Linked DNA regions of Rhinolophus ferrumequinum. The protein of the gene in region 1 interacts with the protein of each later gene in a pairwise test. Links are inferred from orthologs where the notes say so. Each region holds a gene or a part of one and is shown in the gene's direction. Other genes may lie near its edges.

Region 1 (15,188 bases):
CAGTGCGAAGAATGGATTGTAAGCAGAACCAGTCCAATTTTAAGGGCCCTCTTTAGGAAAAAGGATACAAAGTTTGTATGAAAATGAATATGGATTGAGAAAGAGAAAGAAAAGCACAGCGGATTGCTGGAGCCCTAGAGACTGGAGTCCATTCTTCTGACAACATTTGGGAAGTTTGCCAGGAACACTTAGTGGAAAATGCTTCCTAAGTGTAACCTGGATGTGCCCCTCACCCCAGAACACTCCATGACGCCCAGCAGCCCCAGCGCCACACTGGCCGAGGAGTGAGAGGCCTGAGCGGAAGTCTCATTACCTACACAGGAAAGCCACCTCTGGCTAAGAGAGAAGTGGGGAGGCCAGCGGAGGGGCGTGGCATGGCCTAGGCCATGTTACACTTTAGTTAGGAGGGGTCTCAGGGATTGGGGGTGCTGAAATAAAATGCTGCCAAGAGTGCAGGCTCCCAATGGGGTGGGGCTTCAGGGAGGGGGAAGGGATCAGTGAGGGAACAGGGGCTCAGCATTGGCAGGCAGCCAAGGGCTTGGAGCACGCTCCCTCGGGGACCCTCCAAAGTGAGTGACGCTAGGATTTCCTCCCCTCTGCCCGCAGAACGGGCTCTCACCTTCAAGGCCAGGGCCAAGGAGGGGCCCTCCAACCCTGCTGAGCCTCAAGCCCCCTCCATGGCCCACCCCACACTTCCTACCCCCTCACTCTGGAGCCTGTGCTGATTTGCTAAATGGCATGGCCTGGTCATGGGAACCAGCAGGTCCAGCCAGAGCCAGCCCAGGCCCCCGGACCAGGTGGGGATTAAGACCCAGACATTGTTATCACAGCTGGGAGGCTGGGCCTTGGCTGGACCAAGTGGACCCAGGATGGGGCCTGAGAGCGGGGGACTCCATGTGGCGATACCTATGGCTCCCCCTTGGTTTTTGAACATTTCCCTCCAGATGTGGCGTGTTCAGTCAAGGGGCTTGGAGCTAGACTACCTGGGTTCAAATGAAACTTACTAATGGATGTGACCTTGAGCAAGTTACTCTCTGTGCCTTGGTTTCCCCATTTGTTGAGAGGACAGAACAAGATCATGGAAGTAGGGCACTTAACCCAGAGCCTGACCTTGGCCTCCAGTGCCCCTCGCCCCCAGAAGGGACTGTGACTCAGCCTCAGCCACACCCTTCTCATGTGAGGGGTCAATGAGCACATTGGAGTAAGGGGACAGGGAAGGAGGCACTGGCACAGGCCACAGAAGCAGGAACCCATTTCTGGGGAGGAAGGGAATGAAGACGTCCCCGCCTCCCCCATGTTGTCCACCCAGGTAGAGAAAGATGAGCACATTTGCATTTTCACTGGCCGCTCTCTGTTGAGGAACTAAAACTCTGTCTCCCTAGCCCTCAGAACAACCTTGTGAGGAGTTGATTATTGTTTTCTCTGTCTCCCCAAAAGAAAATTCAAGGCTGGAAGAGATTAAGTTACTTGCTCAAGGTCACAGAGCTAGTAAGTACAGGAGCCAAGATCCAAATTCAAGTGGGTCTGACCCCAAAGCCCAAGCTCTTATCAGCTTACTACCCTTTATTACCACTCCCATGATTTGCGTATCCAGCTACTTAAGACCTATTCGTGCATTTTGTAGGGATTCCTGAGACCCTACTACATGCCAAGCATTGTACTGGGTACTGGAGACACCGGGATTGTTAAGACATAGCCCTGCTCCCATTCTGGTGGAAAGTTTATTGGTACAACCCTGCAGCTTTGGGATGTATCCAAGGATGAAAGCAACTCCTAAGTCTACTCGGAGGAGTCAGGGTAGGCTTCTCCAAAGTGGTGACAGGGGTGCAGAGTTTGCTAGGAGGAGGAAGGATCCAGACCCAAGGAGTCTCACCCGCCTTCATCATGACTCTACTTTAAGAAATATAAAGATCATTTTAAGTCGTTGAAGAAAAAGCAAGAAAAAAGAGTGCATTGGCTCCAGACATCCAGGGGACGCCTTCAGGAGTCAGGTCCGTTTATCCAGCAGCTGAAGTGATGAAATCAGTTATCTCTCCTTCTCTATCATCTTTGCTCTCCTGTCCTCCATGTTGGTCCAAGTGTTGGCAAAAATGATGCCAAGCTTGCATCCTGACAGCCTGGAAAAATACTGACTCTTTCCAAATAATTCCATCCAGGCACTAAGAGTAGGGGTGAGGTTCCCCAAACAGAAACTGGATACTGTTACCAGAATCCGGGAAAGTGACACTGGCTGACAGAAACCATGTCCCTTAGATTATCTCATGGGACTAAGTCTCTTCCTTACCTTCAGCACTTTGTCCATCTCCCTGCAAAATCCTGAAACCTCCTTCATCTGTAGGATGGGAAAAGGAAAGGAACTCACCCCTGAACACCTACTAAGCACCAGGCATATTTATCCACATTCCTCCTATCAAATCCCCACAATGAAGCCACAGGGAGGTACTGCTACCCCCAGGTTACAAGAGGAAACTGAGGCTCAGGGAGAAGTGACTTGCCCAAGGTAACAGGCTGGCAAGTGTCAGAGCTGGATTCACCACGGATATTGATGTTACTCATATCTGTGCTTGCCCCAGCCCCGCCCCTGCTACAGTGTGGGGGGGCTCCCACTTCTCTGTATTGATTCACCCCCTGTCCAGCCCCGAGCACAGAGCCCCCCATACAGGAGATGCTCAGGAAATGTGTTGAACGGACCTGACTCCGAGCAGGCATAGAGGAGGATGGAGAGAGGGGCAGGAGCAGAGCTAGATGGCCCCGGGCGGGAGTGGGGCGGCTTCTGAGACTGCTGAGGAAGTGGGCACCCTTCTGTGACCTGAATGTACAACTTCATGCAGCTGCACATCTGGGCACCCCCAGGCTGGGCCTGACAGTTCTGCTCTGACCTGGCCCCAGTGGAGCCTGGCAAGGGGGACGGCAGTTGGACAGACAGATGCTTTCTGTCCTCGAGGTCTCTGGGCCCCGGGGACTTCAGCTCAGGGAGCCTTGTCCCTGTTCTCAGATCTAGCTGTCGAGCATATGGACCATGTGAGCAGAGAGCACTGGAAACCAGGCGAGAGTGATGTAAGAATAGCTAGCGCTACCATCCGTGGGACAGCGACCCGAGGCCCCGAGGGTGCCTTTTCAGTGCCTCTGTCCCCAACAGTTGCAAAGGGAGGGATTCACATCCCCATTCAAAGGCATCCAGCCCAGCTCTCCTATGTTACAGGTGAGGAAATGGAGCTTCAAAAAGGAAAGGGACTTGGCCAAGGTCAAAGCCAGCACCCGAGAGCTGGGAGTTAAGCCTAAGTCTGACCTCAAAATCCATGTTTTCCCTACTGCCTCCCTCCTCCTGTTCTCATGGCTGGCTCCTCCTCGTCTCAGCTTAAAGGCCCCCACCCACCCACCCAGAGAGGCCTGCCCTACCCTCACCTGCACCCCTTATTCTGTCTCAGTGCTTTATTCATTCACACTTCACCACTGGTAAGTATTATATTAATTTTCATTAATATCTCCCCTATCTCCCTGTAAGTTCCATGGAGACAAGGATTGATTGTATCTGCCTAGCACATAGTAGGTGCCCAATTAATGCTTGTTGGATCAAAGCCCTCCTCCTACTGTTGGCAGCAGGTGCCATGCTCCCCTCCCCTTCAGACTGGACAGCAGCAAGTGTCCCCACTGCCTTGGGCCTGCCCCCAAACCTATCTCCTACCCCTTCCCGGCCACCCAGGGTCTCAGCTGCCACAACCCTAAGAGAAGATTGAGCCCTTGCTCAGTTGCTTGGAAGAAAGCTGGTCCGAGGATGGCAAGGAGGGAGGAGGGGAACAGGGCCTCTGAGCTGGCAGACAAAGGGCGTGTGTTCTCATCCAGCGCACTTCCTGGGTTTCCATTGCAGGAAGCTTGGCACCTACCAAGGTGACACTGACACCTGGGTTGGTGCGGGAGACCCTTGGCCAGGACACTCCTTTCTACCTGGGAGCTGCAACAGAGGTGGGACAGGCAGCTGGGGGTGCTGGACAGCAGGTAAGTGGTGGCAGCCAGACCCCCACATTCCCCTTTGACCTTCCTCCTCCTGAGCCAGTCTTAGCCCAGAAGAGATAAGAGGATGTCTGGGTCCAAGACTGGGTCCGTGTAACCTTGGACAAGTTCCCAAGTCAACTCTTTGGTGCCTCATTGTCCCACGGGGGGCACAGTGAGGTGGCTTGGGGGAAATCATGGAGGTGGGGGAGGGCAGCTGCATTTTTCTGTTTTAAATAAGCTTCTGGGTCACAAAGCACTTGAGAAGGGGGTTCTACAGCTCAAAGTGTCTGAAAACCCCTGGGTCTCACCTTCCTCCTTAAGGTCCTTCCCATGTCTGGCGTTCAGCAGTTCCCTCCTTCCTTCTGGGGGAGGTATAGCGAAGTCTCATTCTAAACGTTGCAAAGTGGGAGGCACCACTGCCAGGCCAGGAATGAGCCCTACCAGGTGCTCTGGCAGCCTTGAGTGCGAGTCTCCCTCTGCCTCAAGAACTCTGGCTGCTTCTCTGAGCCTCAGCTTCTGAATCTGGGGAGAGTGGCAGTCACCCGGTCCCTGGGACCAACAGAGCCGTGAACCCAGGGGCACCTACTAGTCTGGGCTTGAATCCAGCTCTGCCACTTGCCCCTTGTGTGGCCTTGAGCCTCTCTGGGCCTCACTTTCCTCATTTGTGAAGCAGGAATAATCAGCCCCACTGCACAGGGCTCTCCTGGGGATCAAATGGAGAGCAGGCCTGTAGGCCGGACACGGCTCACAGGAACCCCTATAAATGGCAACCACTGCTACTGCTGCTGTTGTTATTGCAGAGTGGCTGTTACCGGAACCCCAACATTTTGTTTTGTTTTTTGAATCCACCTACCTGTGCGCAGTGGCCCAAAGAAATGCACGAATAGGTGTTTATAGTATAGAAAAAAAAAATAGTTTAGTATCGAACTGGCCAATATGGAGACAGGGAGCTTATGCTCAAAAACCTGACTCCCCAAGGGTGTGTAGGTTACAAATTATATAGGAAAAAAATCACAAGACACTGTGGGTTAGGGGGTGCGGGCTCGTGCTGGGAGCTGATTTGTGGGAGGTGAGGTAAGGGTAGTCTCTCTGGCCTGATGGGAAAGTAGCCAAAGGGTCGTTCCACTCAGGGCTCAGGAGGTCAAGACGTCATCTTAGCTGCCAGACATCCAGATTGACCATTGGTCAGGTCTCGGCTACTGTCTTCTGGTGCCTCGGGGTTGCTGATTATCTGCAGGGAAAGACGAGTTCTCTGAGGGGACCGAGGAGATTGAGAGAGAGAGATCTAGAGCTAGGATTTAAAGCTAATTTTAATGAAAGTCATAGAGACTCTCAGTTTCAGCTGTGAGGATCAAATGAAAAAAGGATGACAAAAAGTGGGTGAGGTATTTAAGGTGGGGTGAGGGTGGAAGAGCGTGGGACAGGGTTCAAGGCACACCCCTCAGAACCCCCACGAGCGTGAGCCCCTCAAAAGCAGCCCAAGGGCCACCCTGAGCAGCGTGACTGCAGCTTCGGGCCAGCAGAGGACAGCCACACCATGCCTGGCCTCCCCCCAGATGGCGCAGGGTCCAGTGCTCTTCTGGCCTCAGCCACTGTGGCTTTAATCAAAAGAACAATCTGTTTGCCTCTGAATCAGACCCAGATTCCTTTTCCCAGCAATGTTCCCTAGGCCTCCAGGGACTCAGGCGGCCCATCCCGGCTCCATCTCCCGCCCCAGGGCCCAGGCTCAGCTTCCCCTCCCCCCTGCATTATCTATCCACTCCAGCTTGGAGGTGGGAGTGCAGGAGGTGGGAGGGGGTCCATGACAGGTGACCTGATTGCCTGCTGGGCCTTGCCTACCAGACCTCCTGGAGGGGTCTGTCCCCCCAAGGACCCTGGGACCCACCTACAGAGGGCTGAAGAGTTCCAGACAGGTAGTGACAGCTCAGGACACCAAATCCAGGTGACCTGTTTCACTGAGGCACACCCTAAAAAAGCCCCAAGCCCAGCATATATTGACCATTCTCTGTGCTCTCCTCACTGTCATTGTCATATTTTATCCTCAGGCTGACCCTGACAGGTAGGCAGCCATACCCCCGGTTTTACAAAGAAACAGGCTACTGCCCAGGTAGTTAGTGAATGGCCATGGAACCCACGTCTAACTGACTCATAGGACCTTGGGAGCTTCCAGGCCAAACTGAGGTGTAAGCGCCCCTTCCACCTGACAGGGCAGGTAGGGCCACCAACCCAGGGGGAGAGGGAGAATAAAGACCACTCAAGGTGCACAAAGGACACGGGGTGGGTGGGTGTCAGTGGGAGAGCCCTCCCACCCGCCAGGCCTGGGCCGGGGGAAGGGAGGAGGGGTCGAGGGAACAAAGAGAGGGGGAGGGGGCAGCGCGGGGCGCGGCCGGCCAGGTGGGGGGGCAGGTAGGGGCCGCTTCCGCCGGGCGGGAATCCCAGGCCCCCTCCCCCAAGCCTCACCTTTTATGGTAAGGCGGCCGGGGCTGCGGGGCGGAGGGAGCCAGGGGGCGGGGAGGGCGGAGGGGCGGGAGGCCCGCGCTCCTCCCGGCTCTGCTCGCTCTGGCGTCGGACCGGAGCCGGCTGGGGCGCGGGCGGCCCAGGTAAGCGGGGTGGGGGTTGGGGGGTTCTCGCCCATCAGGCCTTGCCCTGGCCACACACAAGTGACAGTGCGGGCAACCCCAGGCCGAAGCCTACCCCGCCCCCAGCCGGGACCCCTGCCCCCTGGAGGGGGCTGGGGAACGGGCTGGGGGTGGGGGCTATCCTTCCGTCCTCAGTTCCTCCGTTTCTGTCCCCGGAGTAGGGGGTAGGGTTGGTGTCCCTGCCCAGGAGCGGAGCGCCAGGGGCGGGGGTGGGCAGGGCGGAAGCTCCCGCACAAAGAGGACAGACAGCGTCCCGCACATGGAACGAATTAAAGTCCCTGGCGGTGCCCCATGGTGACCCGGCCAGCCGCCCTGCTTGGCTGCTTGCGGGAGGGCGCCGGGTTTCTGGAGCTCCGGGGACCTGCGGGCCCTTTTACCCAGCTAGGGTTAGGGGAGGGGCAAGGAGGGGGGCCCCAGGGCTGCCCCTCTCTGGGCCTTAGACCCCATAGGTGTTTGGGACAGGGTGAGCCTGGGCGATCCCCAAGGTGTGTGCTTGGTGGCATGGGTCCTCCTCCTGCCCAGATCTGAGGACCCACGGAAGACGCTGGGCGGTGTGCCTAGATTTCTGTTCTTCATAATGACAGAAGCTAAGTCCTGGGCCTCCTAGGACCCCCAGGAGCCTAGTCCCTAAGGGTTCCTCTTCCCCCCCAGGGGCTGAATAACCAGCTGGCCTTCTCTTTGCACTTACTGTACCAAGATCTTGAGCACCATCTTTCCTTTTAGTCCCTCAGCCAGCCAGCGGTCAGGACAGACCTCATTATTCTCACTTTATAAACAACCTGGAGCCCAGAGAGGTTCTGTAACCTGCTCAGTGTCGCCCAGCAGGAAAGCAGTGGGGCCCCTGTAAACCCAGCCCTGTGCCTCCTCCACTTCCCTGGAGTGGGAGACAGGGAGGGGGAACACCTATCTAAGGCTGCAAGGTCCCCTGCGGTGGAGGGGGGTAAGGGGTACAGTCACACCTCCCCCTCCCTCAAACTTTAATTCCAAACCAAGCATAGATTGCTTATAGAGTATCAAAGAACAAAGCTTAGGGGCTGTTCCAGAGTTTTGGGAAGGGGTTAGAAGGAATAGGACAGGGGACAATGGCAGGGGTCACTACCGGTAGCCCCTGGAGGCCCTCCCACTCAGCCCGGCCGTCCCTGCCCTGGGCTTTAGCTTAAAGCCGGCTGGGTGTCTGGCTGGCTGGATCTCAGCCTCCTTCCTTCCTCTTGACAGGAAATGACTTTCCTTCCCTTTGTTCCCACTTTCTCTGCTTACCCAACTGGATCTCAGATTCACCCTCTGAGGGAGGAAGGATGGGGGTGGAGGGTCCTCTGGGTGCCCCACAGGGAGTTTTCTCACATGTACCCCACTCCAGAGTAACGTGGGGGCAGAGGGACCAGAGGGAAGTTGAGCTTCCCTTTCCTGCCGGTGCCTGACTACTGACCCAACAGACCAGGCTTTGAAAGTCCCCAGCTTGGCCCCTTCCCTTGGGGCCTGAAGTCCCAGCAAGAACCGCAGGGAGTGTGTGTGTGTGTGTGTGTGTGTGTGTGTGGGGAGGGGGGGGTGCCCAGCTGTGAACATCTGGCGTCAGCACTGGGAAGCTTGCCTTGGATGTTTTCCGAGAAACCGCCAGATCCAACTTCCTTAAGGGGTGGAGTGAGGGTCAGAGCTGGGTGAGAAGGAGGTAGAGGGGGCATCCACAGAAGTCTTGGGAAAGCCCAGAATACACTGACCACAAGGTGATTGGTTCAGATTGGGGCATTCTGGGGTGAGAACAGGCCTGAGAATTTGGGGCCCCCATGCCACCCAGGGATGAAAAGGTGTGTCTCAGGTCCTAGGACACCCTGTGGACGCAGATCAGATAGCGCTCCGTTAGAATTCCTAGTCTGCCACGGATGGCCTGTAAAAGTCATTTAACCTCTTGGGGCCTCACGTGGTCCATCCATGAAGTAGGGGCAAAACGGGCTGTTTTGAGAATTAGATGAGTTTTGAGACATGGAAGGCCCTGGGGGCACAGTGCATGGCACACAGCGCCTGGCACAGCCAATGCTTTATCAACCAGTGCCCTGTTGTTTCTTATATTTAAATCTCAGATGCACTCTGAAAGTTGTTTACAAAAATTGATAATTAAACTTGTAGCAAACGTGGGGGCAGAGGGACCAGAGGGAAGTTGAGCTTCCCTTTCCTGCCGGTACCTGACTACTGGACCCAACAGACCAGGCTTTGAAAGTCCCCAGCTTGGCCCCTTCCCTTGGGGCCTGAAGTCCCAGCAAGTCCCAGCATAAAACCAAAGATTATGACAGTCAATATAAGCGTATACACTTCCAGACATCACATAAAACAAGACACAAAAGAGAAATATTTTAAAGAATTTTGAAGCTTTCTTCATAGATTGGTTTCTTTTTCAGAACAGATATTTTATGACCAGACTGAGCTATACATTTTAACCAAACATATAAACCAATTTAGGAGAAATTTACCAGCATATGTTGTTTTTGTTGTTATTGTCCATCAGTCACCAAGATTGCCCAGGGGGCCAGTTGAAATTCATACAGAGGGAGGCCTTGGAGTGGCCCTCCTTACCCCTACCCCTACCTATCCCACCCCACTTCTCCAGGTTAATTCTCTAGGTCCTTAATTACTCTCCTCCCCGCTAAACCGGGTGGTCAAAAAAGAGGCTGAGGCCAGAGGAGTTTGGACTTGACTTGAAAGTGGTAGGGAGCTATGAAAGACTTTTGAGTAGAGGAGAAACAGCTTTACACTCTGCAAAGATCACTCCAGGGGCAGGGTAGGAGGCAGGTTTGGAGCCCACTGGGGCACCTGCCTGAACCAGGGCCATAGTTTTAGAGACGGGACAGAGAGAATCCAGCAATAGAATTAGGACCTGATTGGCTATGGAGGCTGATGGTGGGGAAAAGGATGCTGGCTTGTGGACTGGGCAGGGAGAAGGCTCGGTTCAAATTCCAGCTCCACTGCTGTATGACCCTGAACAAGTGAGCTCACCTCTTTGTCTCCGTTTCCTTATCAGTAGTGCCTCTCCCCCAGCAGCGCTGGGGGGATTTATGGGTTAATGGGCAGAAAGTGCTTAGGCCATCGTGAGCACAGAGTAGCTCTTGGTAACCAGCAGCTCTTATTGTTCTGTCTGCTCTGCCTCCTGGAGGCCGGCCCTGAGGCTGTTTCCCTCCCACAGCGGAGCTGGGCTGAACCTTGGGGACTTTAGCTCTCCCAAGAGAATCCTGTTCCCAGGTGAGGGAGGTACCTTAGGGTGTGGCCGTTGCAGGGTCGGGTGGAGCTGTAGGCGCTGCTCCTTCCTCACACTTCTTGGAAGAGGAACATGAATCATTCCTTAGGGGAGCAGGGTAGGGTTGCCCTTTGCTCCCCCAGGTGTGCAGGTTGGGGGGAGGGGCAGTCAGGCCTGTTGGGATCCATACCAAGTCACTGGGTGGACACCTGCCCTTCCCCAAAGGACCTCGCCAGCTCCTTCTTTGGCTGCGTTGGGTGTCGCTGGCATGGTGGGGTGTTGCTCCTGTCTTGCTGGAAAGAGGGAGGCTCCATGTCCCCAGGTGGAGGGTCAGTGTGTCCATGTGGAATGCACCCCCATGCCCCGAGCCTTGCCTGAGTCCAAGTTCCACTCTGCTCCCCACCCCACCAGGAGCCGAGGCAATGGCCTCAAAGCCTGAGAAGCGGGTCGCCTCATCAGTCTTTATCACCCTGGCACCCCCACGTCGAGATGAGGCTGTGGCTGAGGGAGTGAGGCGGGCAGCTTGTGAGGCCCGGCCTGGCTGCCCCTGGAAGTCTCCTGCCCCCACGAAGGCACCTGGTGCTGGCTCGGCGGGGAGGCCTAGTCCCTGGACACCCCCTGGCAGGGCTGTGGCCACAGTGCCAGCTGTACCCCCTCAGCTCTCCAATGGAGGTAAGAGGGTAAGAAGTGGGAGGGAGACTGGGTCTGAGGCAGCACTGAGATGGGGAGGAGAGGGCAGGCTCTGAGGTCATTCATTCATTCATTCATCAAGCACCTACTATGTGCCCGGCAAACTCTGGAACCCACCTGCCTGGGTTTGAATCCTAGTTCTTCCACTTCTTGGCTGTGTGATATTGGCAAGCCACTTACCCTCTCTTCCTCAGTTTTTCTAATCTGTAAAATAGGGATAATGATAGTACCTTCCTCCAAGGGTTGTTGTGAGGATAAGATGAATTAATACATATGTTTAGCTCAGCACCTGTCACGTAGGAAGTGTTAGATATGTTACTTGCTGTTATTGTTCTGGGCCCAACAGTGGGTACTTGAAAAGAGAGACAAGGTTTTCAGCCTGCATGAAACTTACATCTTACTGGAAATAGAGACAATTAAATATAAAATATAATATCTAGAAGACACAAGTGCTATACAGAAATAAAATACAGTGAATAAGTAAGGAGGTGAAAGTTTTCATAGGGTGGTCAGGATGGCTTCTCCAAGGAGGGGGCATTCAGCTTAGACCTGAATGACGGTGGAGCTGGCAGGCCGAGGTGGAGCTTGAAGGACAGGGGGGAAACCATGTGCAAAGACCCTGAGCAGGAATGCATTCGGTAAATTGAAGGACCTGAGAGGCGATTTTATTATCTCTCTGGCTCTTTTGTTCTTTTGCTGTGTCATCTCAGACAAGCTGTTTCCTTGCTTGGTTCCTTCCTCTGGAAAATTGAAATTTGGTCATGTGAGTGATGCGACCATCACAGAATGGATACTTCACAAATGACTGCTCCTTTTACATGTGCTTGGTCTGAACTGGTCCTGCTGCCATGGTGACAGAGAGCGTTCCAGTCCTCTGTCCCTGCCACTTCCATGGAAAGTCTCAGCTGTTGGGTTGGGTGGCAGCAGTGAAGCACGACAACCCAGCGGCGTGAGGCAGGGGGTTAGCTCATCATCTGGCAGGGCATCAGCTGGAACAAGGAGTCACTGAGATGCTAAGTGTGAGAGACTAGCCCAGGATGGCAGCTGAGCCCCCCGGGCTCCCCCAGGTGCCTAGTCAGACATCCTGCTGTCCTTAGCGAGGCTAGGCAGCCCTGTGCAGCCATCACCATGGAAACCACCTAGAGACCAATAGGAAATGCCAATCACAGGAGGTCAGAAAGGGGCAGGAGAAGGAGCCACACATGAGAGTGCACGGATATTCATTATGACGCAACCTACATTGATCTTTCCGTCCTAACCATGCAGCCTAAGAACACAGCCTTCTCCAGCTGCTTCTCCGTATAGGAAAACCAGGATGGTGATGTCCCAGATTTACACATCAGGACGTGTGACCAATGGGGGGAAAAAAGTCTCTTCTGTGTAGCAGAGGGAGCTCAAGAAATATTATTTTGATGCCAAAATGCCAAAATTTCCAGGGCATTTCCCTGGAATGATAGGCAGAAGATCCCGGAAGTCTGGGAACAAAACCAGACCTTCCTCAGAGCGGGTAGCCTCACCGTCACTGATCAGCCATTTGTTTGCCAACTGGGAGAACTCGAGCCAAGCACAGCACATCTTGGGGTTCAGCCTCGCTCGAGTGAGATAAGTCCTACGTGAGCAGCTTGGTCATGGCCTGACCACAGCACAAAAGCAGGCCCTGGGGCCCTGCCAGCTGTTTAAAGCCATCTCTACAGCACGCTTGCATCTGATGCCTCTTCTAGTGCTTACGCCCTCAGGAATCCACCCACATTTCTTTAGCCCTTTCATCCTGGCAGAAGTCCACATCTTCCACACCCCCAGGCTTCCTCCACTTGGCCCTGGACACTCGCCCAGCCACACCACCTCTCTCATTCTCGGGCTTCTCTTTGAAAGGCTGCTCCCCGTCCTCTTGCTCTCAGCCACCTGAGCCGAATTGTGCTCGTTCACCCCCTTTCTGCACACCTGCCCCGTGGCCCCATGTCCCTCACTCTTGAATTCCTACCCGGGCAGGTACCTGCCCACCCTTCACAGCTTGTTCTCTACGGCCTAAGGCAAGTCCTGGGAGAAGCCTCAGCGCTCCTGCCCTGTCTCCTTCCCCTGGCTCCTGATCCACATTAACTCATCTGGAGCGCGGTTCTTATACTTTAGTGGTGTCAGCATATATCACCCCCCCCTTTCAGCTGGGGTGGGGGCTGTTCCAACACAGCCGGCTGGGCCCCACCCTGGCTGTTTCTGACTCAGCGGGTCTGTGGTGGGGCCTAAGAATGTGATTTCTTTCCCATTTCCAAGAAATGTTGGGGCTCTGGTTTGGGGAGCACATTTTGAGAATTACTGTTTAATCCAAAAGCGTAAAGCAGGTGCGACTTGTGGACTAGAAGAGTAGTTCTCAAAGTGTGGCCTTTGAACCAGCAGCATTGGGAACTTTTCAAACAATGAACATTCCTGGAGTTACCCCTCGCCTGCCGAGTCAGAAGCTGTGGGGGTGGGGAGCAGCCGGCTGAGTTTGAACAGGCCCCCGGAGAACAAGCTTCCTGTCTGTACAGTCCCCTTGGCCCACGGGAGAAAGGAGGGTTCATTATCTTCATCAGCGAGGTGCCCCAGTGAATTAGCAGAGAAGGGGACCAGAGCCCAGGCCTTCAGGGCGCAGGGCGTCGGGCGCTTTCCATCTGCTTTCCCTGAGTATCCAGGGCAGGGCAGTCTGAACTTGACGGAGCCTGGTTACCTTGGGCCAGAGCCTGGCTACCTTGGGCCGTAGTGACAGGAAGTGGGCAGATGCCTCCCTGTCCTTTACCCTGAGGCTCTATTAATAGCACTCAGCCTGTATGTGGCAGCGACAGGGTCTTCACAGGCAGATTCATAGCCCTGCACTACTCTGCCCTGATCCCCCAAGGGAGCTGTCAGCCCCTTGTCAGAGCAGCATGGACGGGTGAGAGTTACACGATAGTCAGTTCCTGGATAGCAGAGGGCCTAGGGCTGCGGCAGGAGCGGGGTGATCCCCCGCCCACCTCTCCCTGCCTGCCAGGAACACTGCACCCAAGAGGCTGTGTGCAAGGACTAGCAGGTAGGATGGAGGGCTACCCTCTCGATGTCATTCCTATCTTGTGTGTATGTGTGTTTGCTGTTAGGTTGTTGTTGTGTGTGTGTGTTCTTTTTTAATGAAACTTTCAAACATATACAGAAGTAGAGAAAACAGTACAAGGAACCCTGTGTACTCCACATCCAGTTTCAACAATTACTAAGATTTTGCCACATGTGTTTTGTCTATCCCTCCCTCCCTGCGTCCTTCCCTCCTTTTTTTTCTCCCTTCCTCTTGTGAAGTATTTCAAAGGAAATGCCAGTAATCAGGTCATTTCAGCCCCCCCCCCGATTCTTCAGGGTGCGTCTCTAAATAGGGCCATTTTGTTACATAAGCACAATGCCAAACAAAATCAATAAGAATGCCTTGTGATTATCTAATGCTCTATCCACAATTAATTCCCCTGAATTGTCATAAAAATGTCTTTTAACTGTTGGATTGTAGTGGAATGAATGGCTTACATTATGCCTTATCTTTCTTTTGAGCTATATCATTCAGTGGAATTTTAAACTTTTCCTCATCTGCAAAACGAGAATTAAATGAGATGATTCATCCTTTGAATCAGGATCAAATAAGATCTGTACCAGCGCTGTCCAATAAAAATATATTGTGAGTCACAAATGCAAGCCTGGTATGTAATTTATAATTTTCTAGGAGCCACATTGAAAAAAGTAAAGAAGAATGAAGTGATGTTACTTTTCATAACGTATATTATGCCAGTATGTAAAAACTGTCATTTCCGCATGTATTCGTTATGAAAGTGACTATGAAATAATTAACATTCCTTTTCCTGTCCTGAGTTGTCCAGCGCATCTTAGTGTGGACTTTTCACTGAATAGCTACACGTGGCTGGTGGCAACTTTATTGAACCGCACAAATATATATATATTATATCTGGTTGTTCTCCAAAGTCTCTTCATTCGGAGGAAGTTCCTTCTCTTTTTCTCTCCCTGCCACTGACATGTTGGAGAAATAGGGTGTTTCTGCAGAACCTCCCATTTGCGATGATGGGATTTGAGGACCAGTTGGAGGGCTTAAGATCCACATGGTGGGGCCCCACCCAGGACTTTCTGATTCTGCCCAGCCCCAAAAGGTACATTTCTAACGTTCTCCCTGGTGGTGCTGCCGCTAGTCCAGAGCCACACTTTGAGAACCACCACCTTAGGGGCTGGTTTTGCTTGTAACCCAAGTGTGCCTGAAACCCTGGCAGGGGGCTGGGGCAAGGTTTCAGGCACACTTACACCCAGGTGTGGAGGGCTGCTGTGGCGGGCTTTGACACTGCTGTTTTCTGGCCCCCTTCTGTGCATCATGTCGTCATCTTCACAACAACCCTAAGCAATCGATACCCGTTTTCCAACTGACACTCGGAGAGACTAATATCTTGCCTGAGGACACATATCAAGTCAGTGGCAGAGTCAGAGATGGATCCCAGGTGTGGGTGACCTTAGACCTGAGCCCTTAGCCTCCTCGCTGTACAGCTTTCCGGGCAAGTGGACACCTCCTGTGTTCATCTGCAGAGACTCTAGCGAACCCTCTCTCCTTTTCTGGATGCAGGATGTTCTCTTCCTCCTCCTACCCTGGATGGCGA
Region 2 (14,504 bases), on another chromosome or scaffold:
ACTGGGACCCAACCTCCCCACCCCCCAGAGGGCCTGGTCACCTCCCCGCACCTTTCATCTCCTCCCTTTGCTTCCATTGAGGGCACGTGGCCCTCAACCTCTCTTACTTTCCTTCTGCCGCTCCCTGAGCCTCAGCCCAACTACTCCCTGCCGCCTCCTTTCCAACCTCCCCCTCTCCCCCACCCCACAGGAACTATCTCCACCCCGCCATCGCCAGCCCGTGGCCTACACACTGCTCATTTTCCCAGCTCCCTCCCACCCCCTCTCTCTCCTTCCTGCTCCACTCTGGCCACTGCTGTTGCCCCTTAGCTTGTTGGCGACCAGTCCCCTTGACCTGTCCTCACCTCTGCCATTCCTTCCCTACCCCATCCCTTCATCCTCACAACAGTCCCCACTCTATTGGTTCCGGTTTCCCCAATTCATCCTACAGACCCCAAACCTTTGGTGAAGACTGCTGACCACTAGTAAGTCACTCGAATGCCCCCAACGCCTAAAACTTGGACTACACAAAGCACCTCTGCCTTTAAAGTCACCAGGTCCTCCCTGGAGACCTCAACTTTACTGCGTGGCCTGGAAGCTCTCTACCCAGCCGTCTCTCCTTGCCAACCAGGTCCCTCAAAACCCTGGTTAATCTCAACCCCCACTCTAGGGCTGTCTCACCACAACTTCCCCAGCAGCTTTCGGGGCATATCTCTCATAGCCTCTCTGGTCTCCTAACTACCCTATCACCCTCTAAAGTTGATCCCCCAAATCACCCCCACTCCCTGAACCACACCTCTGGGCATCCACCCTTCATATTTTCACCCCCTATTTCTTCTGATGGAGCCTCCACTGGTGACCCATCTCCCAAATCTGAAGCCACACTCCCCTGGCTCTCTAATCACCCTGCATGACTGCCACCTCCCACAAGATGCTTCTGTTCATTTCACGTCTTTCACACTGGCTAGTCCCTGCCCCATCTCCTTCAGACAACTTGCCGCACTCCCAGTTCCCCACACCCCTGGCATCTTTTCCCGGGGCATCTCCTGTATTTGTTCCTGATGTCCCTGGTGAAAGCCCTCTCAGTGTCTCTCCACACCTGATCTCAGGTACATTGCCAGTCTTCAGGGCTCTTCCCGCCAAGACCCACCGACCTCTGTCATCTCTCCCAGGATCCTCCAGCCCCCTCCCAGTTTCCCAAAGACCCCACTCTTTCCTGCCTTTTCTCTGAGTCCCAGTCCCTGGACTCTGTCCCGTGATGGAGAAAGGACTGGTTAGTACTAAGTGACGGGTCTTGCTCAGTGCGGGAAGAGGAGAGGGTTCCTGAGGATGGCTTTGGAGCTGATCCCTCCAAAGCAATCCCCACTTCTTCACCCTTCAGTTTATTTTCCCCATCCTAGCCGATCCCACAGTATGGGCAGGTGGAAACAAGAGGCAGTCCCCCATCTTCAGAACCACATCTCCCCAACACTGCACATGGCCCTCAAAGACCCCTGTGAGAATGCTGGCCCCTTTTCACATCCCAGCCCAAATCTCAGTGGCCACCCTCCTCCCACTGCTTGCAAATATAGCTTCTTTGTCAGCCTTCTCGGTGTCTCCTGTCCCTTCACTAACGAGGATTCTCCCCATATTTCTCTCCACATTCTCCCACCCGACCCAGTGGTCCTTTTCCAATCTTCCCTGCTCACCTCATCCTCATCCAGCATGAGAAGCTGGTTCCCCGAGATGATGCAGAACCGGGGGTTCCAACCAGGACGATCATATGGGGAATGAACGTATTGGGTTCGGTGCATAGGGGGTCCCCGTACATCTGGGGGACAGAGACACACAAAACGGTAAGGGAGGCTCTATGCATTTGGGAGACAGAGGCCTAAAGTGGTATGAAGAGAGTCCACAAAGCAGGAAAAGGGGACCCCACATGCCTTGAGGAGATCAAATTGGGGGTGACTTTAAAGGAACAAAGATAAGCTTCTATATCTGGGGTAAAAGAGGGGAGGGGAATCGCATCACAGGGGGCTCTGTGGACTTGGGAGAAGAAATATAGAGGGGTGGCACAGGAGGAGAATTATATCATGATAGAGAGCATACAAGTTTGGAGGCAGAGAAAGGTGAAAGCTCTCCATCCATTTCAAAAAAATAAAAAGGTGAGGGCAGCAAAACTGGCAGAAGAAAAATCCACAGAGGGGTTGGTGGCAGGTGTCTGGGAAGACGAGGGCATCCAAATAACTGCAGAAGACAAGAACTTGGAAGGTGGCACGACCCACCTGCAAGGGAATAAGAGGAAAGCCACACACCTGTGGGAAAGAAGGATGGACTGGGGGTGTAGAAACATTTCGGTCATGGGATTCTGAGAGCTAAACATCTGGAAAAGAGATGGATGAGGGAGCTCATCTATTCAGAGCCATAGACATGAGCAGGCCTCCCCTCCACTTCTCTTTTTTGCTCCCTCCTCTGCTAGCCCAACCCTGCTCATCCTTTGGGGAAAGTTCTGGTTCTTCTGGTGGTAGGGGGAGGATGGGTCTTGTCAGCATTTGGCTGTGGGGGGACTGGGAGCGAGGAGGTAGGAAAGATGCCCTTGTTTGAATGAACAGAGACTGACTGGATTCTTCCCCCATTCCATGCTGAGATCAAAGATTCAATACTGCACCTGCCCCACCAAGTCTCCATGGGTTAGGAACCTTCCCAAGGCACAGTGAGGAGTTTGAGGAAGGAAGAGGGGAGGGAAGAATGGAAGATCCAGGCCTGTGACATAGAGGGAGCCTCCAAAGATTAAAGCTGGGCACGGGGACAAAACTTCTAGAAAAGAACAGTAGGCCAAGGGTCGCCCATGCTCAGAAATGCCCCCAGGGTCACCTTCCCCACTTTGCTGTTCTTCTTCCCGCGACCCCATCCCTGCAAACTTCCTCTCCTTTAAACCCCAATGCCACAAACCATCACAGGGACACAGGGGACAGACCCTATGGAAGTGAGAGAGAAATCAAATCAGTGATAGAAAATAGGCTTAAGGTATCACAGTGTGAGAGTTTAGAGCAAGAAACATCAAATTCTGTTATCTTTACAGAATAATTAATCAGGAGTATAATGCAAGAAAAGAACTGGTCTTTGAGCTTCTTTCCAACTGAATGTCCTGCATAGGAGAGTTTTGAAAACTCTAGCCCTTTTCTGTCTACAAACATGTGCCTCAAATGTACCCAACCTGTAGATCAGAGTCAGAGATGAATTCCCAGAATACAGACATCTAGAAACCCCAATGTTTGGAAAGTCTCACTATCTCAATGCCATTTCGGAGACTCTAACGAATACCTTCTAGATACAGAAATCACCAAGGCTCTGAGAGTGCGGCCACTGCAGGCAACTTGCCCGCGGCGCTCAAACTCTGAGGACCCCCAGAGGAGAAATCTGCTGATACACACCATCATTAGGGGAGGGACTGCTCCAGGCTGCAGCCACTGGGAGGCAGGTTAGACTTCAGGGGACACCTCCCTGGGAGCAGGGAAGCACGCAAGAACTTAGCTTAGGAGCAACTCTGGACACACACACACTGTCTGGACTTAAAGTAAGGAAAATTCTGGAGGCAGATGCAAGAGATAGAGGAACACAGCTGAGAAAGGGGCAAGAGGTACTAGGATGAGAAATCCCACAGGGCTCAGAGGCGGGTTTCTTGTAGGCTCTGATCCACCCACCAAAACCTGTGTCTTTGCACCCCAAATGTCCAACACCCCAGAAAGTAGAAGAGACAAGAAAAGAGGAATGGGTGATAAAAGCTGGGGCATTAGGGGAAATTGGATATCACAGGCTTGTGGCGACAAGAAGGGGAGAAGGGTAGGGAATAGAGGGTGGGCTGGGGGACAGGTAACAGGGATGGAAGGGATGGATCTAGAAGAGGAGGCAGGAATGATGGTAAATCCCTAGGGACAAGTATCAGAAGGGCCCCACTAGACATGGAGCAGAGGAAACGAGGTGGAGCTAATAGGAGGAGTAGGACCAGGGGATCAAGAAGGCGGGGGTGAAGAGGAGGCAGACATGTAGGAGCTACCAGGCAGAAGAGAGGGAACGAGAGGGACACCAGAGAAGGGACTGATATAGGGGAAGGACAGAAGGGGGACTCATATAAGGAACGGACACCATATGGGGGGAAAGATATAGGTGATGGACATCAGAGGAGGGAGGGGGAATGGAAATAAGGATTGGAGGTGGGGGAGGGGGTAAAAGTGGTGAAGTGAATGGAGCAGGTAAGACCCCAGGGGTTACATTACACCGGTGGAGGGCCTTCATGAGGGTCAGAGTCCGGGGCAGTCTAACCGGCCTCTCTACTCCCATTGCTCAATCTTACTTATATTGCCCCCCCCACACCAAACACACACATATTTGGCCCTCCCCCTGCCCTGGTCTCTCCTCCCCCAACCCACTCCCTCTCCTCTCTTCCCTCCATCTGGACCCTCCCCCCCCCACTGCCTCCCTCTCTCTCCATCTGGCCCCTTCTTCTCTCCCTCCATCCTCCTCTTTTTCTACCCCCTACCATTCTCTAAGCCCCCCCACAATATTCTACTGCTTCTCTTTTCACCCGTTCTCCTTTCTCCTTCCTAGCCCGTCTCCTGACTCTGTCCTTCTGTTTCCTTGATATTTTCCTCATCGCTAAGCTCCCACCTCCAAATTATTTCTGCAGCTCTTCCCCCCAACCCTATCCTATTTTCCCACCCTTTCTGGCGATCTCTTTCCCCTTCATCATTTTCACCTCAGCCCCCTTCAAGGCCAGTTTCCTGTCCCCTCCGGTCCCTATCTACCCCTATCCTCTAGCCTCCAATCCCTCCTTCCCGTTGCTCCCATCCCTGTCTTCCCAGCCCTCCTCTCTCCCTCCTGGCCCCGGCTCTGCCCCCTCCTCCGCCCTGCCCCTCCCCCCTTTGCCCCCCCCCAACTGGCCCTCCCCCTTCCCTCACCACCGTACCTCTGAAGGGGGCATAGGACATCGCGGGGATGCTCCCCCGATGGATGGACGCGCGAGACCTGCTCATCAGGCCTGGGGGGAGGGGGCGGGGGGACGGGGGAGAAAGAGAAGAGAGAAAGAGGGGGAGAGAGAGGGGGAGAAGGAGGAGGAGGTGGAGGAGGAGGAGAAGAGAGGAGGAGAGAGGAGCAGAGAGGAGCAGAGAGGAGGAGAGAGGAGGAGGAGGAGGAGAATAGGAACCAACGGCAGCGGCGGCAGCCGGGAGAGAGAGAGAGAGAGAGAGAGAGGGAGAGAGAGGGGGGCGGGGGAGTGAGCGAGAGAGGAGAGAGCAGGAGGAGGAGGAGAGACTCTGCAGCCCCCACCCCTACTCAGTGAGAACCAGAGAGATAGAGACCCCCGACTCAAAAACACCAGAGAAAGGGAAGTTCTAAAGATGCAGACCCCAGACCCACAGAGAAAGGTATGTTGTCACCCCCCCCGGGGGGGGGCTAATCCGAGGCACAAATCCAAAATCTAGAGGAAAATAGACCTCAATCTCAGGGGGAGGGGAAAAAAACCCCAGACCACCCTGAGAGGTCAAAGGTCAAAATCTGAGTTTCCAGCCTCAAAAAGGTTCTCCATAACCACAGAAATCTTAGACTCTAGACTCAGATGGTGATTTCAGGGACCAGGACCCGAGGCCAGGACTCAAAGAAAAAGATGAGACCCAGATTCAGAAAGAACCCAGACCTAGAATTAGAGAACTCAGAGAGAGATATCAGAGACCCCAGATTTAGATCTCAGAGAAAGGAAACTGCCCACTCAGAGACTGATAACTCAGAGACAGAAAATTCCAGACCTTGGAGGTGATGGGGAGAAAGGGGGGAAGGGGAAGAGAGAGAGAGAGAGAGAATTCAACTAGTCCCAGAGATGGAGAACTCAGCACCCCCAAACTCATAAAGTTCAAAAGACCTTGGAGAGTGACCACAGACCCAGAAACAGAAACCCCAAAACAAAATCCTAAAGAAAACCCAGTCCTAAGAAAGATCCCAATGCAAACATTGAAAGATCTTACAGCGATCTATCTCAGAGACAAACTCCAACCCAAAGACAGAGCTCTCGAGTAGACCCCAATCCCAGAGAGGTAGGTCTGAGAGAACTCTGACATCAGCCTGGGAAATGCCCAATCACACCCACCCAGCTGACCAGAGACCCCAGACCTTGGAAGGAGGGGCAATATTGGGTAGGGGGAGTGGCAAGAGCCTTTTTCTCTGCTGCTTCCTCCTACCTCTTTCTCCTCTCTCTGGCCCCTCTCTCCATTTTTGGGTCACTGGATGTGCTTGGGCCCAAGGGAGGTTATGTAGGACAGGTCCTGGCTCCTAGGGGGATGGGTTACGGGAAGGGAACCCGAGGCTGACAGGTAGACCAGTCCTGGAGAGTGACATAAAAAGGGGGTAAGGGACAAAAGGACCATCACCACTTCCTGGTGTCCTCTCCATATCCCAACCTGCAGCTCTCATCTTTCCTCTTCCCCCGATTCACCAGTCTGGCTCCAGCTTTGGGGTTTCAGCTAAGAAGGCTGAGCCGCCCTCAGCCTCCTTTTCATCATCCTCTATCCCATTTACAGGGTCTCACTCTGTCCTTTTAAAATGCATCTTTCCTCACCAAGCCATCGTCTTGCCACGCTGGGGCCTGCCTAATCACGCCCCCCTACCTAGGGACAGCTGGCTTCTCCTCAGATTATCATTATTCATTCCCAAACCCAGGCATATGTCAGTCCTAACCAAAAGGGCAGGGGGCGCTCTCTTCACCCCGAGGTTCAATCTTCTCAGACCCTCCTACTCCTCCATCCAGGCCTTGGGAACAGTGTAGGAGCTATTACTACCGTGTTTCCCTGAAAATAAGACCCAGCGGGACAATCAGCTCTAATGCGTCTTTTGAAGCAAAAATTAATATAAGACCCGGTATTATATTATACCCAGTCTTACAGTAAAATAAGACCGGGTCTTATATTAATTTTTGCTCCAAAAAACGCATTAGAGCTGATTGTCTGGCTAGGTCTTATTTTCGGGGAAACACGGTAGGCACTCTCTGGGGTCTAAAGATGATTCTTCACTCCACAACCTGACGCATCCAGTCGGCGGTGTCTCCAGCACCACTTTCCTAGCGCCAGGTCTCTCATCACGTGGCCTGCGGGGCTGGCCTGCGATTGGCTTCTTCGCGTCACTCATTGAGGTACCGCTGCCCAAGGGACCGGCCCCCTCACGTGACAGTGGAACGGCGCAGCGGCTCTCCTCCGCTTGCAATTGGCGGTTTCCGGTTTACACGGAAACAGGCGTGCCCTTGCCGTTTACCGCTGAATATCTGGCTGTGGATTGGTCAGCTCCCGCTTCGCTCCTCCCTCACCAGGAGGCGGGGCAAATCGGGCTACGTGAGGGCCGGATTGGCTGGTTCTGGAGACTCGGGTGGTCCAGCGTCTACTCTCACGTGGTGTGCGCTGTTTTCTTATCACGTTGCTGCCACCCAGGTAAGAGGTCGCTCTTCCTGGGCTTGGGGTCCTTTCTCGACGTTACGTGTGACCTTTGATATTCAACCCTCTTCTACCAACATAGGCTGCATGAGTGGGGTGCGGGCTACCGCAATCCTGCTCGGCGGAGGGGTGAGTGACCGGCCCCGCCCCTTCCGGTCCTCGAAGCCTCGACCACCACCCGCACCCAAAATCTCAAAGAGGTTGGCCCCTGAGGAGGGAGTGAAAACAGTGCCTTTGCCTTGATTTTTCAGGTTTATCTCCCAGCTTCAGGGACCTTTTCTTTCCGGGTGCAGAAAAGGCAGGGCAGAGCCTTAGTGTCTGTGCAAGCGAAGAGTTCCTGGGGTGGGCGCAGTTTCCTGGGACATTTTGTGGGGAGACACCGAATTCACCTCCTGCTACCAGGCCGCTCTGCTCCTGTCGCTTCTCTGGATGCCGGCGCTGCTGCCTCTGGCCTCCCGCCTTCAGTTGCTACCCCGAGCCCTGCTGTCCATGGCTTCAGGAAGCCCCCCGTTCCGGCCTCCGCCGGCCTCGGGCTCTGACTATGTACCTGGTTCGGTCTCTGCAGCCTTTGTCACCTGCCCCAACGAGAAGGTCGCCAAGGAGATCGCCAGGTGGGGACCCCAGTGTGGAGAGAGGATGAGCAGGAAGGGAGTTGGGGGTGGGGAAGAAGACTGCCTTCCCGCTGCTTCCTCCCTGCTCCAGCAGCTCCAGCTGCTTCGGGGCTGGCAGTGCAAAAATTCGGGTCATGGGGTGCTTGCTCTGAATGGGGTTATCTCTTCACCTTCAGGGCTGTGGTGGAGAAGCGCCTGGCAGCCTGTGTCAACCTCATCCCTCAGATTACATCCATGTGAGTCATAGGACTGGGGGTTAAACTAACTGGGGGCTGGCTGGCAGTCTTTTCTCTTGGGGAAAACTTTTGCTCCCACAACACTCTCTTTGCCTTTTTCAGCTATGAGTGGAAAGGAAAGATTGAGGAAGACAGTGAGGTGCTGATGGTGAGAAACATTACCCCCACCCCACAAAACCTCAGTTCCCTGAGCCCTTGGACCCCTACCCCTCATCTGAGATCCTGAAATCAATCCCACCCCTTGATTCAGCCATGTTTTTCTTTGTCCCTTAGATGATTAAAACACAAAGTTCTTTGGTTCCAGCTTTGACAGATTTTGTTCGGTGAGAACTTTGAGATGGGTGGGACGTGCTGGGCAGTCTGAGGGGCTGGGCTCCTTCGGGTAAATCTTTGAGTGACCCCCCCCATCTTTTTCACAGCTCTGTGCACCCTTATGAAGTGGCTGAGGTGATCGCGCTGCCTGTGGAGCAGGGAAACTCCCCGTACCTGCACTGGGTGCGCCAGGTTACGGAGTCAGGCTCTGACTCGAGCACAGCCCTGCCGTGATGAGCCGGCGCTGCTCCTGCCATATTCCCTCATAGACTGCAGTGCTCTCTGACTTCCAGGTGATGCGTGGGCCCTTAATAAATCCTATCTTTGGTTCTTTCTGGCTTTTGCCTTTTCTTGTCATGTATGTGAATTTGGGTGGGAAGATCAGTGCTTCTAGTGCCTTTGTTCTCATCTTTCAGAATGACTCAAGAGTTGCTAGATTTGTTTATCTTTATTTCAGTCATACAGAGTCTGGGATCCTTATCCCTCCCCTCCTCAGTCTCCATCCCCAGGGGTTAAATAATTTTTAAAAATATTTTAAAAGCTGTAACAAAATAACATCAAAGGAAATGGGAAGAGGGATGGAAGGGTCAGGAATCAAGGGAGAAGAGAAGAGAGAGCCTCTTCCCCTTCCCCCCAACCTGGATTCCGCCTAGGCAGTAGGGAGAACTACCCCCTACCTCCCCAGGTACATCCCAGCTGTAGGTGAGATCAGAGGTCAGGGTGTGAAAGTGCCGGTGTGTGTGAATGGGGAGGTGGGTAGAGGCAGGCTGTTCAGAAGATGCCCCCACCTCCCCACTCAACCAGGTACTGCACAGAACCATCAGGCCGAACTCTCCGAGCAAGGACCCGGACAGGGTCCCCTCGGGACAGGTAGCCAACCCCACCTCGCACTCCTCCCCCAGTCCCAGGAGATAAACTACGGCACAGGGAAGAAGAGGGTGCTGAGCGTCTAGGAAGACCCGGGGAGGGGGCTGGGACTGAGGAAGATGAGGCAGTCATCGAGTGGGGGGCACTTTTAGGGATGTCTGTGGGGAAACCAATATGAAGTTCCAGGGGTGACCTAGGGAGAAAAGGCAGTTGTGAGTCCAGACACAATAAGGACTGACGAGAAATGGAGGCCACAAGTGGATTAGAGGAATGAAGAAATGGTTGGAGACTGAGGATCTTAAGAACAGAGGCGAAGAGGGGTGTCACAGGTAAAGGGGTAGAATCTCACCTGTCTGGGGGTTCACCATCCCCAGAGGTCCCTGCGGTGCTGGCAGAGGGGTGGAAGGAAGCGAACATCCGGATGGGACTGCTGGGGTTGGGGAGAGGAGAGGCAAGACCTGACGTGGGGGAACAGGATGCTCCCCCCGAGAGGGGCAGAGCTCAAACACTGCCCCCACGGAACCCCATCCCCAGGACACTGGGGACCAGACACTGGTTCTAGAAGTCTCTAGGACAGGCAGTGGGTAGCCAAGGGGAGGAGGGACAAGAATTCTGGTGAGAAAATCCAGAGTAAGTACAATTGGAGGAGAGGTTCTAAGGGAACATCCGGTTGGAGGGTGGAGGAGCACTGACCTGGGCAGGCAGCGGGCGTCTGTGGGCCGGAAGTTGTAGCCGCTGCTGCCCTGGTAACTCTGGTTAGGGCTGGGGGGTGGCGGAGACACTGAGGCCTAGAAGGATGAGGAAGGGACTGAGAGAGAATCCTTGATTCCTTCCCATGCCACCATTTGCCCATGGAGTTCCCCGTCCATGTACCTGCAGTGCCCTCTGCAGACGAGCCCGCTCCCTCTGCTCCTGGGGCTCTGGCTGATTGCGCACTGCTGAGGATGGCCCCAGCTCCTCCATCTTCCCCTTCTGCCTCCTCAGGGGCTCTGGCTCCGACCTCCGGCGCTTCCCCAGGGGACGTGAGACCCCTCCCCCAGGGCCCTGCCCTGAAGGGAAGCTGTAAGAGGCCTCCTTATCCCCCCAGCCCCCTCCCGGACACCCCAAAGACCTCCCCATCTCCATACATATACCCCGATTAATACCCTGAGAATTTCCCCATCCCCCCTGGACCAGTGACCTGGTGGGAGCTCCATCTCCAGTAGGGGGCTCCACAGGAGGAGGGATCCGAGCATGGAGGCCAAACAAGCATTTCCTCTTCTTAATCTCCCTCCCTGAAATGAAGCTGGGGTGAGAAGAAAAATGATCCAGGGTCAGTGCTGCCATCACTCTTCCGCCACTACTCAGCCCTTTCCAGGGATGACCTTCCAGCTGAGTTGCAGTGCCTCCCCTCCCAGGCTTCCATTTCCACACCTCCATCTCTTTCTGAGCCTCTCCTCAACTTACCGGTCCTTGTGGCTGTTGAGTGCAGACAGGAGCTTGGAAGAACGTTCTCCCTTGGGGGTGTCTGAGAGCTGGGGGAAGGGAGGGAAAATGGGCTCAAGGGAGCTTGATTCTTCCCTCTCCCTTTTTTTCACATCTCCCTGTTCCACCTTAACACCCAAACCTTCACTCTTCCTTACCTCCCCAAGGAGCAAACTGTCCCAATTCTCAGAGGTGAAGGGGAGGATCTCACGGTCAAAATCAAAGTATTTTTTCTTACAGCAAACGCTGAGGTGATAGAGGACAAGATGGGCCACATCCACCCTGGAGAAACACTGAGGTGTCAAGGTTGTGGAAGCATTACAAAAGCCAGGGGAGTCCCGAGTGGGAGGCTGGGGCAGGTAGGGTGAAAAACAGGGTGTTGAGAGAGGAGTTACACAGGCCATGCCCAATCCAGCTCACCAGCGAAGCTGTAGCCTCCTGACCTTCTCAGGGCCCCCCCGACACACACAGCATTCAAACTCGTAGAACCTGGATGTGAGCAAGGAGAGGACATACCTTAGACAGGAAAACTATACCATGCTCTGGAGGACTCACAAGCACCCAAGGATGGGCGAATCAGTGAGAAACACTCCAGAGGTTGGGAAGAGAATGGATCTGGGGCAGGCGGGTGTGGGGGAACTGAGAGGGTGGGGAGAACAAGAGGGCCCCCTGGGCTCCTGGAGAGTGCCCTGGTCTCACCTGTCCCCATAGAGGAGAGGCTTGCTCAGACACTGGGTGCAGGCCTCATGGAACCACTGCAAGCAGCTCTGGCACTGCAGCATTTTCAGGTTCCACCTGAAGGGGACACGGGACTGGTGACCTCTAGACACTCCCTCCTTAACTGCCCCAACCCTGCTCACCACCTACTCCCACCCCCTTCAGCACTCCCCTCACCATTCTTTCTCCATTCCCTGGGGTTCCCCCACCACCACACTGTCACTCATTCATTAACCCCGCCCCCTCATTACTCACTCCCCAGGACCACCACAGTAACAGTAGCTCTGCTGCCGGTTGCTCAGATGTCCAGCATCCCAGTCCAGCCCCTTCAGTCCATATGGCAGAGATAGCTTCATGCCCAGCATGGCTCGGGCATAGGGGCCCTTCTTCAGTGCACCCCCCCTCTGCAGAGAGAGAACCGGCAGGCTGCTTCAGAGGGGTGGGGAGAGAAAGACTCGGGAGAGGCTGTGGGTGGGAGGCTCCCACAGGAAGATGCCTTTACCTTGGTGGCGATGGCAAAGATGCACTGGCGGCAGACCCAGGATGTGCCCTCTCCCTCTCCTGGGGCTGGGGCCCTTGGAACATGGCAGTCCTGGTGATAAGCTGAAGAATGATATTATCGATGGTAGAGCATTTATTGCATTGCAAACCTGCGTGTGCTAGGTATCAGGATAGGAAGAATCTTATCTCATTAATCCTTGACCATGGTCCTGGGGAGGGGGAGGGGTATTACCCTTATTTTACAGGTGAGAAAACTGAGGCTCCTAAAGGTTTAGGGACTTGCCCAAAGTCCTATGGTTTGAAAAGGGAGTATTTGAACCACCCTCTGCCTGCAAAGCTCACACAGCCCCATTCCATGGCTGCCTTTTCCTATGTTGGAAGGGAGTGAGACTATAGGTTCAAGGAGACTGGCCAGAGCAGTAGCTTGGGGACGGAGGCCAGAATAGGTGGCATAGGACCAGTCCTGGTGGGAAGGGTCAGAGACCGCCCAGAGGGCCTAGGGCAAGCTGGACCACTCAGGTGTCCTGCCCTCTCACCGTGGCGACACTTCTCACAGCTGACCAGCCGGTTCCCAGGGACCACAGTCTCAGAGCGACAGACACAGCAAAGGAATTCCTCCCCGGGGAGGGCAGCTATGAGGGAACACAGTGTCAAGGAACCTGTCCTTAGGTCCCCTTCTCTCCCCCAAGCCAGGTTTCTGTCTTCCATGGGAAGCCACTCCCAGGCCTCTAAGATCTCACCAGGGCTAATGTCTTTCCATAGAACCAGAAACTGGGAATCATCCTCAAACTGGACCAGACACACCTCCCGAGCACTGTCCACCTGGAATGGGTGAGCATAGAGGATGAAATGGGAATCAGCATTAGATAAGGGGAATGGGGAGAGGTGACAGGTCAGAAGGGTCTTACCTTCTTGATGGTCCCCAAGTATAACAGCCCATCTGTCCATCTGGCCAGCACATCTTGACCCTCCCAAAGTCGAGGCCTGGGGCCTGAGGTGGGAGCAGGGGAAGCTGGGTCCCAAAGTGGGGGGGCACCAGAGCGGCTCAGCCGGGGAGGCTGTGCCATTGCATCCTGGGGGGGGCCTAGCCAGAAGTGGAATGGGAGGAGAAGGTTATGAAAGCCAAGAAACCTTCCTTATTTGCCTATTTTTCTGTCAAGGACTGAAGCAGCTGCACACCCCCCCCCCCCACCAGTCTCCAAATCCCTGAGACACCTGGATAGGAAACCAATCAGCACCCCTCCCAAGCTTCTTGACTCCAGCTCTCCCAACTCTGGTGACTGCCTCTCCTCTCCCTAACGGCCCCCCCCACCCCCAACCTAGTTCTCTAGTTTCCCAGCTTCCAGACCTCCCCTGGGATATTATATCCTGGCCTTGAGATTTTAGCAGAAACAATGGTTGCAGAAGCAAAGGTTACCACTCAGTTTCTACTGTCACCTTCTCCTGCTGTTTAGAGGTATCATAATTGGGGTGCTCTGTTACCCAGAGATGTATTTTGGGAGCTTTTCCAGCGATGTTTTCCAGAGTAGAAACAGCTGCCTCCCTGGGCCCGCGTGTCTCATTCAGAACAATTATCCTGATGTCAGGTTATGTCAGGTCGCCCTCAAATTCGGGGCTCCCTGCCCTCGGGTTAGATAACTTCCCTGAGTGCCCCGGGAGGGGGGCGTGTCCCAGTCCCAGTCTCTATTACCCACGACCGCGAGTCCAACAGGGGACTTCAGTCGGCCCAGCCGGACCCGATGCCAGGGCGACGAGGCTCTCCCGCTGGCGCCCTGCGCGCCGACCCCCGGCTCCCTGCTCCCCCCCCACCACGAGCGCCTCCCGCCGCCTCCTTACCAGTGACAGCTGGGGACGCCGGGAGCTGGGCAGAGGCAGACGTGGGAGACCGAGGCGAACCCCCCGCGCCGGGAGGGCACGTCTGGGCGTCGGGGGGCGTGCAGGCAGAGGCCGGGGGGTCCCCAGGCCCAGCCCCTCCGTCCCGGCGGCTCTGGGGCGTATGACGCAGCAGCCAAAGCAGCGGCAGCGGCAGGAGGAGGCGGCGGGGGGAAGGAGGGGAGGGGAGGGGAGGGACAAACTGGCTCGGGGGGAGGGTGGTGGGAGGGGAGGACTGGGGGGAAGGAGGAGCCGGGGGGCGGGGGGACGGGCACTACTTCACCCCACCTCCCTCACCTCCAACAGGCCTGGAGGGCGCCGAGCCAGCGGCGGCCTCTCCGTTGGTGGGGCGGGCGGACAGTCTGACCTGGCGGGAAAGGGAATCCCCGAAGCCCCTTCTTCGGAAGGGAGACCCGCCCAGGGGGCAGGAGGGAATCCCCCGCCTCCCGGCAGCCCGCCCTCCGGATTGGCCCCAGCCCCATGCCACATCCGTT

The links.
Region 2: the proteins of FBLIM1 (region 1) and CUTA interact in binary tests that used the Homo sapiens proteins (3 or more experiments, as listed by UniProt). The two-hybrid records come from large-scale screens. The link is inferred for Rhinolophus ferrumequinum from reciprocal best matches to the Homo sapiens genes FBLIM1 and CUTA.

Annotation. Positions count from the first base shown.
Region 1 is NC_046292.1:10,557,183-10,572,370, forward strand, and holds the start of FBLIM1 (filamin-binding LIM protein 1), read left to right. Parts: upstream 1-6,183; 5' UTR 6,184-6,205; intron 6,206-6,499; exon of another isoform or gene 6,500-6,593; intron 6,594-9,952; exon of another isoform or gene 9,953-9,973; intron 9,974-10,030; exon of another isoform or gene 10,031-10,126; intron 10,127-10,266; 5' UTR 10,267-10,277; coding exon 10,278-10,527; intron 10,528-15,154; coding exon 15,155-15,188. UniProt on the Homo sapiens protein: Serves as an anchoring site for cell-ECM adhesion proteins and filamin-containing actin filaments. Is implicated in cell shape modulation (spreading) and motility.
Region 2 is NC_046286.1:3,725,971-3,740,474, reverse strand, and holds CUTA (protein CutA), read left to right. Parts: upstream 1-7,409; 5' UTR 7,410-7,427; intron 7,428-7,512; 5' UTR 7,513-7,517; coding exon 7,518-7,559; intron 7,560-7,832; coding exon 7,833-8,041; intron 8,042-8,217; coding exon 8,218-8,277; intron 8,278-8,379; coding exon 8,380-8,425; intron 8,426-8,550; coding exon 8,551-8,600; intron 8,601-8,696; coding exon 8,697-8,823; 3' UTR 8,824-8,920; downstream 8,921-14,504. Other genes in the region: SYNGAP1 (ras/Rap GTPase-activating protein SynGAP), read right to left, coding at 1,668-1,789, 4,925-4,991; PHF1 (PHD finger protein 1), read right to left, coding at 9,361-9,649, 9,806-9,886, 10,150-10,244, 10,330-10,516, 10,637-10,741, 10,903-10,970, 11,079-11,202, 11,341-11,409 and 6 more. UniProt on the Homo sapiens protein: May form part of a complex of membrane proteins attached to acetylcholinesterase (AChE).